Linked DNA regions of Saccharomyces cerevisiae S288C. Each later gene encodes a partner of the first gene's protein in a complex. Each region holds a gene or a part of one and is shown on either strand. Other genes may lie near its edges. The genes, in order: MMR1 and MYO2. A codon is read from its position in the direction of its gene.

Region 1 (4,098 bases):
CACTTTCGAAATTGTTGTTCATTTCCACATGCGTTTGCTCACCAACTATCTGATATAATTAATATTAGTCCGGCGGGCTTCGGAAATAAAAAAAATTTGGCCCGCTGAAAAAGGTGTCATTAATCAGATAAAAGAAGACTTTATTATATCATTTTTTTTGGTAATTAATGTATTTAAGTATAGGTTGAATAAACTTGAATGCAATATATAAATTATGTGTTTGTGATACCAGTCACACCGTGATTGGATTTTCTATTCAGCTTTTAAAAGCGGGGTATTTGCTTAGACGACACTATGAATAAATAGCTGCAGCATTCGACGTTGTAAGAAAAAAGATTAAATCACACGACAAGCCCTTTGAAGTTCAGTAATATTCAAATAAAAATTGTCCAATGAGAAGGATGGATAACGGAGAAATCACGCACATTGCAGATGCGTAACTCGATAGCCTACAATACAAAGCGCCTATCAGCATTGATGTATTGTGAATGTTTGTGTAAAATAAGTTAATTTAATTTGAAGTTGACGCTTCATTTTTCCTTCTTCTCCACTTGGACAGGAAGGTTAAGTTGGAAACCTCTTTTACTTTCCCCACTCTGCACAGATGCTGTTGTGGAAATAGCAGAAGTTGGCTCCTCTTCAAAAGCAACATTTAAATCTTCGCTAGTATTAGCATCCGTATCATCGTTTGTTAGATGATCTTCCTCGGACGAAGTTCCCGAAGAAGAATCTGGCTGTTCTTCAATTTTCTTTAGGTCTAAAACAGAAACGCGTGCCAGTCTAGTCTTAGGGCATGGGATTCTTGCTGAATTTCCTTCAGTTTTTGAAGTGGAGGTGGCCACTACTGCGGAGGATTCAGTCAATTTCTTAAGAACTTTTTTACAATTGAAGAATTTTTTCTCCAGTTGCTTGACTTTTCTCTCAATATCTCTTTGGGATCTTTGAGCCTGTATACTAGGATCCTTCATAACCTCAAGCATAAATCTTTCTTCAATGTATCTGTTCGTCGTCATGGAATGCACTAATTTTTCATTCTGCAACTTTAATTCTGTAATTTCAAGTTCTAGCTGCTTGATCTTTATGTCTAAATTCGATTTTTCACGACTATTTGCCTCCTCTGCATTGGCCATAGAGGCCATTTGCATTGAAATATGTTGTTGTCCGTCACACCATTCGGGCTCATAGTCCGTCGACGTAGACGAGATAAAGCTATATCTGTTGTTGTTGTTATTGCCTTTGAGACCATATTGAACGAACCCGTTATTATCCGTAGGTAAATTGTCTAGATTCAGATCCTTAGGCAATTCGTTCACTTCGGTGCTTAGACACTGAGTGGAGCCGCCGGAGACGACTCTAAGTCCTTTGTCCTCGACCTTTCGCACCCCATGATTTTCTGGATCTTCCAAAGGAGTAGCAGGAACAGGAACGTATGAGGGGAGCAACCCTTCGGCGTTTTTCCGTAATATCGGTTCTTCCGCACAGACTTTGGCCTCAAATGAAGGGGGATTGCGTTCTTTCTTTTGTACTTGCGCAACGGATTCTGAACTGCGCAGCTGCTCTAGTTTGTCCTTGATGCTTTGTTTAATGATGTTTTTCTCTATGTTCAATGGATCAGGGTTTGAATTCTGGCCTTCACTAGTAGTTTTCTTGCTATTCTTCAATAGGGCAGATAGCAATGGCAGATTACTGGTTGTTTGAGATAGGTACTCGGGTTTTAACATCTTTGGAGTGTTGTTCAAAAACTGAAACCTAATAGGCGATACAGACCTCATAGTGTCAGAGCCCCTTCTTTGTTTAGAACGTCCACCTCTTGATAACTCGCTCAATTTAGAGAGTGATGTTGGATATAACAAGGAATTACCAATCGGGCCAGTGTCTAATTTTAGCTTCGTAGGTGAGTTCAATAGATTTTGAAAAGAGCCTGCATTTCTTTGGTCATCCAAACAAAAGGACATTGGTGAGAGTTTTGGAGTAAGTTGTTCCGATTTCATTGTTGGAGAATTCATTTTTTTAGTTGTTTAGTTTATTAGTTGTGTTTTTTTTTTTTGATTTTGCAATGAGTACTGGCTTGTAACAAGTTAAAAGAAAAGAAGATTAGTTAAGAACAACGGAATTGAAACGAAAGTAAAATAGTTGGAACCGAGGATAACTATGTTGATTTAAAAGACTTCACACGCGATTCTTTTTCCTTACTGCTATTTAGGAAGATGTGCCCCTCCAAACCTTTCCTTTATTCCCAAGGCAATCAAAATAACAGAAAATACAGCAGTAATAAAGCTTAATTCTCTAGGCTCACTTAAACTGAGCAACAATTTGTTGATCGTACGTGTTATTTAATACTATCAGGAAAAAATAATCTAAATGTGAGAAAAACTTCTATCTGTAACCACTTTGTCTTGAATGAACGTAGAAAATTTAAAAACGATCAAGCTTGCGTGAGAGAACTTGTAAAGTAAGGAAATCTGATTTCTAAACCCATAATGATTCTTCATCGAGCTTTCTTGCCAATTGGCTAATTAGAACTCTTTTTAGTTTATTTCCCGAAAGGGGTATTTATATTTTGCCCGTTTGGGACAAAATTAACCCTGCTTACACCAGGGTTTATCTAGAAATAAAATAGGTCATTGTTTTGAGATGACTTGGAAAAACTTAACCCTGATGTGACTGTAACATAACATCTAAGAAAAAAGGGACTAAAAGTCAACAGAAGGAGTAGATCGGAAAGTCATTGCATTTATCACTGATAAAGTCATGGCTGTCAAAAAGTAAACATCAGAAGTTCAGTTGCACTTTATGCTTTGGTGAAAATCCGTATAACTTAAAAGAATGCCCATCACTCAAATCATATCAGCGTCTGATAGCGAGGCGGGGCCAAAACCAAGCATTTCGTTGGTACCTGATAAGCCATCTGAGCCAGAAACTTCCCCTAGGCATCATCGCCTTTCAAGGTCACTTTCGAAGTTCAAGCGCTGGAGAGGAAGATCAAATAGCAGTTTATCGATGGGGTCGTCTGAGCAGCAAGAACTGCAGGACAGTCCAAATGAAGCCCGTAGTGATGATGACGAAAACGGTTACAATAACGATAATGCAGATGACTTGGCGAAATCCAAGTATATGATGAAAAGTATTGCCGGTTTATTAACTACTGCTAGTGTGTATGCAGGGATGAATAATGCTCAAGAAATGAATGTGTTGTCGCAAGTTGATTCTGAAGAATCTGATTCCAGTGATAGTTTCCAGGAAAACATTGGTCGAAATGAGGTAAAAAGCAAAAAGGAAAATCTCAAAACTAAATCGCATCCGGAAGTACCAAGATTAGACAAAAGAAAGCCAACTTTATTCGACTTCTCAATAACTAGGGAAAAACTGTCAAAAGACAATGTGGCTAAGTTGAGACAGCGGTTTTGTTTAGACGAACAGGAACCATTTTTGAATGATTTCCCTGCATGGCTACTTAAAGATGTGTTGGTTCAAGGCCATATTTTTATTACAACAAAACATTTCCTATTCTTTGCATATTTACCTAAGAATCCTCGGTCGGTTAAAATGTCTGGAAACCTTAATATCAGGACAAAACTAATTAGGTCTACCAGGTATTGGTGCGTACTAAAGAATCATTTATTTTCTATGTATACCTCATCAACTGAGCTATACTTTCCGGTTTTAACCATAGATTTGAGGGAGGTCCAAAAAATTGAAACACAAAAACATACCTTAAACGGGAGTGCTACGAAAACATTTAAGCTTTACACAGATGAAAGTACATTCAAATTCAATGCAGATTCAGAGTTCTCCGCTAAATCGTGGGTGAACGCTTTGAAAAAGGAGCAGTTCGCAGCTCAGAATTCTGAAAACAATTCGATAAGTTTAAAAATTCCGCTGCCCAACATTATAGAGATAGATGATCAACCTATAGTCAACAAAGCTTTAACATTGAGATTAAGAGCTTTGGAGAGCTCACAGACCTATGCTATCGATGATTTCATGTTTGTTTTCATGGATGGGTCCGGTAGTCAGGTCAAAGAGAGCCTTGGCGAACAGTTGGCTATATTGCAGAAATCCGGTGTTAATACACTTTATTATGATATTCCAGCCAAG
Region 2 (7,215 bases), on another chromosome or scaffold:
GAAATATGATTTTGATAATAATTCAATTCATCAATGTTATCATTCAAATTTGAGTTGCTCTTCGAAATAGAGTTTGAGCTAGAATCAGGAGTGGCTGCGGAGCCATTATTATTGTTCACCTTCAGTACACTCTTGAACCTAGTGGAAGAATCCGCTGACTTCTGCCTATTCAGTAAATACTTAAATCCCAAGGTATCGGTGCCAGGTGCAGTGGAAGAGCCTGATGAATTCCTTGGTTTCCTCTGGTTAGTCAAATATCCTAAAGAGGGATATACACCGTTTAAACTTCTTCTATCCACATCTTCTGAATCTGATGAGGTGGATGACGTGGACGAAAAGGCTGATGACGACAAAAATGCTGGTACATTAGAACGGGAATACAGAAATGACGAAGAATCGTTGACAGCAGAACCGTCCAAATCATGATAAAACAAAGATGTGCTGGGGGAGGAGTTTACGGAAATTTGTGATTGAGAATGCATATTCCCTAATTTAATGCCGCCAGCGGTGGATGAGGGCTCAAACACTACCGACTCCCTCAACGTATCAAATGGGTCTGAATTTCCCAAAGAAGGCTGTAAAAATTGGTTAACCAATCGTTTCCTCTCATAATCAAAAGAACCAGCGGATGATCTACGTTGCGAAGAGGAGGAACCCTGTATTTGATTGAAAGCTAGCCCAGTATGACAGCTTTGGAAAACGGACATCGAACCACGACGTCCTTTACTAAGGCAAGACAATCTGGCCCTATTAGAGTTGAAGTCGGTTTTCGGCGACACTCTGAATGGATCATCCAAACTGGATGCCCCACTATATGATCTACTGTGTCGACCTACTCTGTTATCGATGTCATCTTCAAACAAAAAATCGCTAAACTTCCCGGTTTTGGTCGATCCCAGGACAGGTAAGCTAGTCATTTCCAATGAACGTTGTCGTACCCCATGTGCCCTATTCTTTGTCACATATAAATGTCTCCTATCATGCAGCGCAGGCTGTTCCTCCTTTTCTTTCTCCCTTTCCTTTTGTAACAACGATCCCAAGTTTACTTCAGTGCTTGGTCTTGGGACCACCGGATTATCATTCACTGCTATGACAGGTAATCTAGAAGATGATTTCGAAAAGTGTGCAACATTTGTTTTAGCTTGTAGAGGTTCCGGCTGCGGCTGCGGCTGTAGACCGGATTCTTTTATCTTCACTGCGTCGCCACTGGAAGCCCTTCTTCCCTTACAAAAGCCTCTTGGGAATGAAGGAGGTAACAGGGTACAGTTCCTCGATCCGGGATTCTCCATCCGGTCAATTAGCAAGTTCATTTTCACTTAATGTATCAACTATAACTTAAACCAAAAAAAAAAAAAAATTTAGATATGGGAAGGTCTTTTCCTCCACAAATAGGGTGAACTATCCGACCCAGATCAATAAATAAATAGGCTCGAAGACGCCTCAGAACTCCGGTCACTGGTTTGTCTTGTTGATATACGATGTGCCAAGCGCCGTTTCTCGATGCTTATCTGGTTTAGTTTACGCTGTTAAAACCAAAACCCCAACAGATTTTCGACCCTAACGTATGTAGGGCTAAAATAGATATTGAGTAGGTTACAATTAATTATTGGCAATTGCACCTAGTGACACATTTACGAAAACGTAGGGCAAAAACTATTACCCGACCCAGGGCTATTTTGTGATTTTTTCCTTTTTTTTGTTTATGATCGCGCTTCTCGAAAAGCCAAATATCAGAAATCCCAAACACGCCTTCATTTGATACGATTCGTAGCCTGCGTTTCAGAGATCTATCAACTTTGCAAGGCCAATCAGAGAACAAAAAAGTCTCGCAAAGTCATTTCACTTTTCTCGCTTGAAATTATTCGTTCGATTTCTGGCTGCTTGCTTGTTTTTTGTTTTCTAAGGTACTATTCGACACCATTCCATTGGACAGCGATACTTATACCATTGTACATATAGGACATAAAAACAGCAGATATTACAGCGTATAATGTCTTTTGAAGTGGGTACACGATGCTGGTATCCCCATAAAGAATTGGGCTGGATTGGGGCGGAAGTAATCAAAAATGAGTTCAACGACGGCAAGTACCACCTGGAGTTACAATTGGAAGACGATGAAATCGTGTCCGTGGACACAAAAGACTTGAATAACGATAAGGACCAATCTCTACCGCTTCTTAGAAACCCTCCCATTTTGGAAGCAACGGAAGATTTGACCTCTTTATCTTACTTGAATGAGCCAGCTGTTTTACATGCCATCAAACAGCGCTATTCTCAATTGAATATCTACACATACTCGGGTATTGTTCTGATTGCTACAAACCCTTTTGATCGTGTCGACCAGCTTTATACACAAGACATGATCCAAGCATATGCGGGAAAGCGCAGAGGTGAACTGGAACCTCACTTGTTTGCCATTGCCGAAGAAGCGTATAGGTTGATGAAAAATGACAAACAAAATCAAACCATTGTGGTAAGTGGTGAATCTGGTGCTGGAAAAACGGTTTCTGCCAAGTATATTATGCGTTATTTTGCTTCTGTAGAAGAGGAAAATTCCGCTACTGTACAACATCAAGTGGAAATGTCGGAAACAGAACAAAAGATTCTAGCTACAAACCCTATCATGGAAGCATTTGGTAATGCTAAGACTACCAGAAATGACAATTCTTCCAGATTTGGTAAGTATCTAGAAATTTTATTCGATAAGGACACATCTATTATTGGAGCAAGGATCCGCACATACTTGTTGGAACGGTCCAGATTAGTTTACCAGCCGCCAATTGAGAGAAACTACCACATATTTTATCAATTAATGGCTGGATTACCAGCTCAAACCAAGGAGGAATTGCATCTTACCGATGCCTCAGATTACTTCTACATGAACCAAGGCGGTGACACCAAGATCAACGGTATTGATGATGCCAAAGAATACAAAATTACAGTAGATGCATTGACATTAGTCGGAATCACCAAGGAAACTCAACACCAAATATTTAAGATCTTGGCCGCACTTCTGCATATCGGTAACATAGAAATTAAAAAAACTAGAAATGATGCATCACTATCAGCTGATGAGCCAAACCTGAAACTGGCGTGCGAATTGCTGGGAATTGATGCCTACAACTTTGCCAAATGGGTCACCAAAAAGCAGATCATTACAAGGTCAGAGAAAATTGTTTCGAATCTAAATTATAGTCAAGCTCTGGTTGCCAAAGATTCCGTGGCTAAGTTTATTTATTCCGCCCTTTTCGATTGGCTTGTGGAAAATATCAACACCGTGTTATGCAACCCGGCTGTGAACGACCAAATTAGCTCATTTATTGGTGTTCTGGATATTTATGGGTTTGAACATTTTGAAAAAAATTCATTTGAACAATTTTGTATTAACTATGCCAACGAAAAACTACAACAAGAGTTCAACCAACATGTTTTCAAATTAGAGCAAGAAGAATACGTTAAAGAAGAAATTGAATGGTCTTTTATAGAGTTTAATGATAATCAACCTTGTATTGATCTGATTGAAAACAAGTTGGGTATTTTATCACTGCTTGACGAAGAAAGTAGGTTACCTGCTGGTTCCGACGAATCTTGGACCCAAAAACTTTATCAAACTTTGGATAAATCTCCTACGAACAAAGTATTTTCTAAACCAAGATTCGGGCAAACTAAATTTATCGTGAGCCATTATGCTCTAGATGTCGCTTATGATGTGGAAGGATTTATTGAAAAAAATAGAGACACCGTATCTGACGGACATTTGGAAGTGTTGAAGGCTTCTACCAACGAGACACTAATAAATATCTTAGAGGGATTAGAAAAAGCTGCCAAAAAACTGGAAGAAGCGAAAAAGCTTGAATTAGAGCAGGCTGGCAGTAAAAAGCCAGGTCCGATAAGAACGGTTAACAGGAAACCCACTTTAGGTTCCATGTTTAAGCAATCTTTGATTGAACTAATGAATACCATCAACTCAACTAATGTTCATTATATTCGTTGTATAAAGCCTAATGCAGATAAAGAAGCTTGGCAATTTGATAATTTGATGGTGTTGTCTCAACTCAGAGCCTGTGGTGTTTTGGAAACTATTAGAATATCTTGTGCTGGGTTTCCTTCTAGGTGGACTTTTGAAGAATTTGTATTAAGATATTACATCTTGATACCACATGAGCAGTGGGACCTAATCTTCAAAAAAAAGGAAACTACAGAAGAAGATATCATATCAGTGGTTAAAATGATCCTAGATGCTACTGTAAAGGACAAATCCAAGTACCAGATTGGTAATACAAAAATTTTCTTCAAAGCAGGTATGCTTGCATATCTGGAAAAACTTAGAAGCAATAAGATGCATAATTCAATTGTTATGATCCAGAAGAAAATTAGAGCTAAATATTACCGTAAGCAGTATTTGCAAATATCTCAGGCCATCAAGTATTTGCAGAACAACATCAAAGGTTTCATCATTCGTCAACGCGTTAATGATGAAATGAAAGTTAACTGTGCAACTTTATTACAGGCCGCTTACAGGGGTCATTCCATCCGTGCCAATGTGTTCAGCGTATTGAGAACAATTACAAATTTGCAAAAGAAAATTAGAAAGGAACTAAAACAAAGACAACTGAAACAAGAACATGAATATAATGCTGCGGTAACTATTCAAAGTAAAGTTAGGACCTTTGAGCCGAGATCGAGATTTTTACGCACTAAAAAAGACACTGTTGTTGTCCAATCTTTGATCAGAAGAAGAGCTGCTCAAAGGAAATTGAAACAATTGAAGGCAGACGCTAAATCAGTTAATCATCTGAAAGAAGTGAGCTATAAATTAGAGAATAAAGTGATTGAACTGACGCAGAATCTAGCATCCAAGGTCAAAGAAAATAAAGAAATGACAGAAAGAATTAAAGAACTACAGGTTCAAGTGGAAGAAAGTGCCAAGTTACAAGAGACATTAGAAAATATGAAAAAAGAGCACTTAATAGATATTGATAATCAGAAATCTAAGGATATGGAATTACAAAAAACTATTGAGAACAATTTGCAATCCACTGAACAAACTCTAAAGGACGCTCAATTAGAGTTGGAGGACATGGTTAAACAACATGATGAATTGAAAGAAGAATCTAAAAAGCAACTTGAAGAATTAGAGCAAACAAAGAAAACATTGGTTGAATACCAGACATTAAACGGAGACTTGCAAAACGAAGTTAAATCTTTAAAGGAAGAAATTGCTAGGTTACAAACTGCCATGTCGCTGGGCACCGTTACTACTAGTGTACTACCTCAAACACCATTAAAGGATGTAATGGGAGGCGGTGCTTCAAATTTCAACAATATGATGCTTGAGAATTCCGACTTATCTCCTAATGATTTGAATCTAAAGTCTAGATCTACTCCATCGTCCGGAAACAACCACATTGATTCATTGAGTGTCGATCGCGAAAATGGTGTCAATGCTACACAAATCAATGAAGAGTTATACAGGTTATTGGAGGACACTGAAATTTTGAATCAAGAAATCACGGAAGGCCTGTTAAAGGGATTCGAAGTACCGGATGCTGGTGTAGCTATTCAACTAAGTAAAAGAGACGTTGTTTATCCGGCTAGAATACTGATTATAGTTTTAAGTGAAATGTGGAGATTTGGGCTGACCAAGCAAAGTGAAAGCTTTCTTGCCCAAGTATTGACTACAATTCAAAAAGTTGTCACTCAATTGAAGGGTAACGATTTAATTCCAAGCGGTGTATTCTGGTTAGCAAACGTTAGAGAGTTATACTCATTTGTGGTGTTTGCTCTAAACTCTATTTTAACCGAAGAAACGTTCAAAAACGGCATGACCGATGAGGAGTATAAGGAGTATGTTTCATTGGTCACAGAACTAAAGGATGATTTCGAAGCTCTAAGTTATAATATATATAACATTTGGCTGAAGAAATTGCAGAAGCAATTGCAAAAAAAGGCCATCAATGCTGTGGTCATCTCCGAATCATTACCAGGTTTCAGCGCGGGAGAAACCAGCGGGTTTTTGAACAAAATTTTTGCTAACACTGAAGAATATACAATGGACGACATTTTGACCTTTTTCAACAGCATATACTGGTGCATGAAATCTTTTCATATTGAGAATGAAGTGTTCCATGCTGTAGTCACAACCTTATTGAATTATGTGGATGCAATTTGTTTTAACGAATTAATCATGAAACGTAATTTCTTGTCGTGGAAAAGGGGTCTTCAATTGAACTACAACGTTACTAGATTAGAGGAATGGTGCAAGACGCATGGCTTGACAGATGGTACTGAGTGCTTACAACATTTGATTCAGACCGCTAAGCTACTGCAAGTCCGTAAGTATACTATCGAAGACATTGATATCTTAAGAGGAATTTGTTATTCGCTAACACCTGCACAATTGCAAAAATTGATTTCACAATACCAGGTGGCAGACTATGAGTCTCCAATTCCACAGGAAATCTTAAGATACGTTGCTGATATAGTTAAGAAAGAAGCTGCGTTATCTTCATCAGGTAATGATTCTAAGGGTCACGAGCATAGCAGCAGTATATTTATCACTCCAGAAACAGGTCCATTTACTGACCCATTCAGTTTGATAAAGACAAGAAAATTTGACCAAGTAGAAGCCTATATACCAGCGTGGTTATCCTTGCCCTCAACTAAGAGAATAGTTGACCTTGTTGCCCAACAAGTCGTTCAAGACGGCCACTAAAACTGATGGCGCGAGAAACAAAATTGTACATGAATGCTAAAAAAAGAAATGACAAAAAAAGAGAAAAAAAAAAATGAAACTACATAGTTAATTAATAATAGAAGTATTTGTCAATAGTATGATAATGAAATCGATATTATGGAAGATATTAACCGCGCGCCGTATTAGTGTACACTATATTAAACTACATTTTGCTTCTTACTGAATTTATAAATTATGATTATATTATTATTACTATTATGACTACTGTATATATTTTTTAGAATTAGCATCGGGAACCGATGAGCGTTAGCTGAAATGGACGACGATAGGAACGATAATTACCACTAGTAAAATAATAACAACTAAGAATAAACACATTCTCATTTTTAGATCTTTCCACCACATTTGCTTTCTGACCCTGTTGGCGCCTCTCTTGAATCCTTGTGCGGAGATAGCCAAGTTATCAGCTTTGTCCTCAATGGATGTTAGCCTTTCACCACGTTCAGCAACCTTGTTGA

What was found.
Region 2: the proteins of MMR1 (region 1) and MYO2 are in contact, whole or in part, in a crystal structure (PDB 6IXP), measured with the Saccharomyces cerevisiae proteins. Residues at the interface, in NP_013291.1 of Saccharomyces cerevisiae: Thr408 (codon at 785), Arg409 (codon at 782), Leu410 (codon at 779), Ala411 (codon at 776), Arg412 (codon at 773), Val413 (codon at 770), Ser414 (codon at 767), Val415 (codon at 764), Leu418 (codon at 755), Ile421 (codon at 746), Glu422 (codon at 743), Gln424 (codon at 737), Pro425 (codon at 734); in NP_014971.1 of Saccharomyces cerevisiae: Glu1222 (codon at 5,654), Leu1225 (codon at 5,663), Ala1226 (codon at 5,666), Leu1229 (codon at 5,675), Gln1233 (codon at 5,687), Thr1237 (codon at 5,699), Gln1238 (codon at 5,702), Leu1239 (codon at 5,705), Lys1240 (codon at 5,708), Glu1293 (codon at 5,867), Asp1297 (codon at 5,879), Glu1299 (codon at 5,885), Ala1300 (codon at 5,888), Leu1301 (codon at 5,891), Tyr1303 (codon at 5,897), Asn1304 (codon at 5,900), Asn1307 (codon at 5,909), Ile1308 (codon at 5,912), Lys1311 (codon at 5,921), Lys1312 (codon at 5,924), Thr1527 (codon at 6,569), Gly1528 (codon at 6,572), Pro1529 (codon at 6,575).

What each region holds. Positions count from the first base shown.
Region 1 is NC_001144.5:533,122-537,219, reverse strand, and holds MMR1 (Mmr1p), read right to left. Parts: upstream 2,007-4,098; coding exon 531-2,006; downstream 1-530. Other genes in the region: ATG26 (sterol 3-beta-glucosyltransferase), read left to right, coding at 2,827-4,098. UniProt on the Saccharomyces cerevisiae protein: Involved in the guiding of mitochondrial tubules to the bud tip during cell division.
Region 2 is NC_001147.6:923,731-930,945, forward strand, and holds MYO2 (myosin 2), read left to right. Parts: upstream 1-1,990; coding exon 1,991-6,715; downstream 6,716-7,215. Other genes in the region: FRT1 (Frt1p), read right to left, coding at 1-1,310; SNAP receptor SNC2, read right to left, coding at 7,004-7,215. UniProt on the Saccharomyces cerevisiae protein: Myosin heavy chain that is required for the cell cycle-regulated transport of various organelles and proteins for their segregation.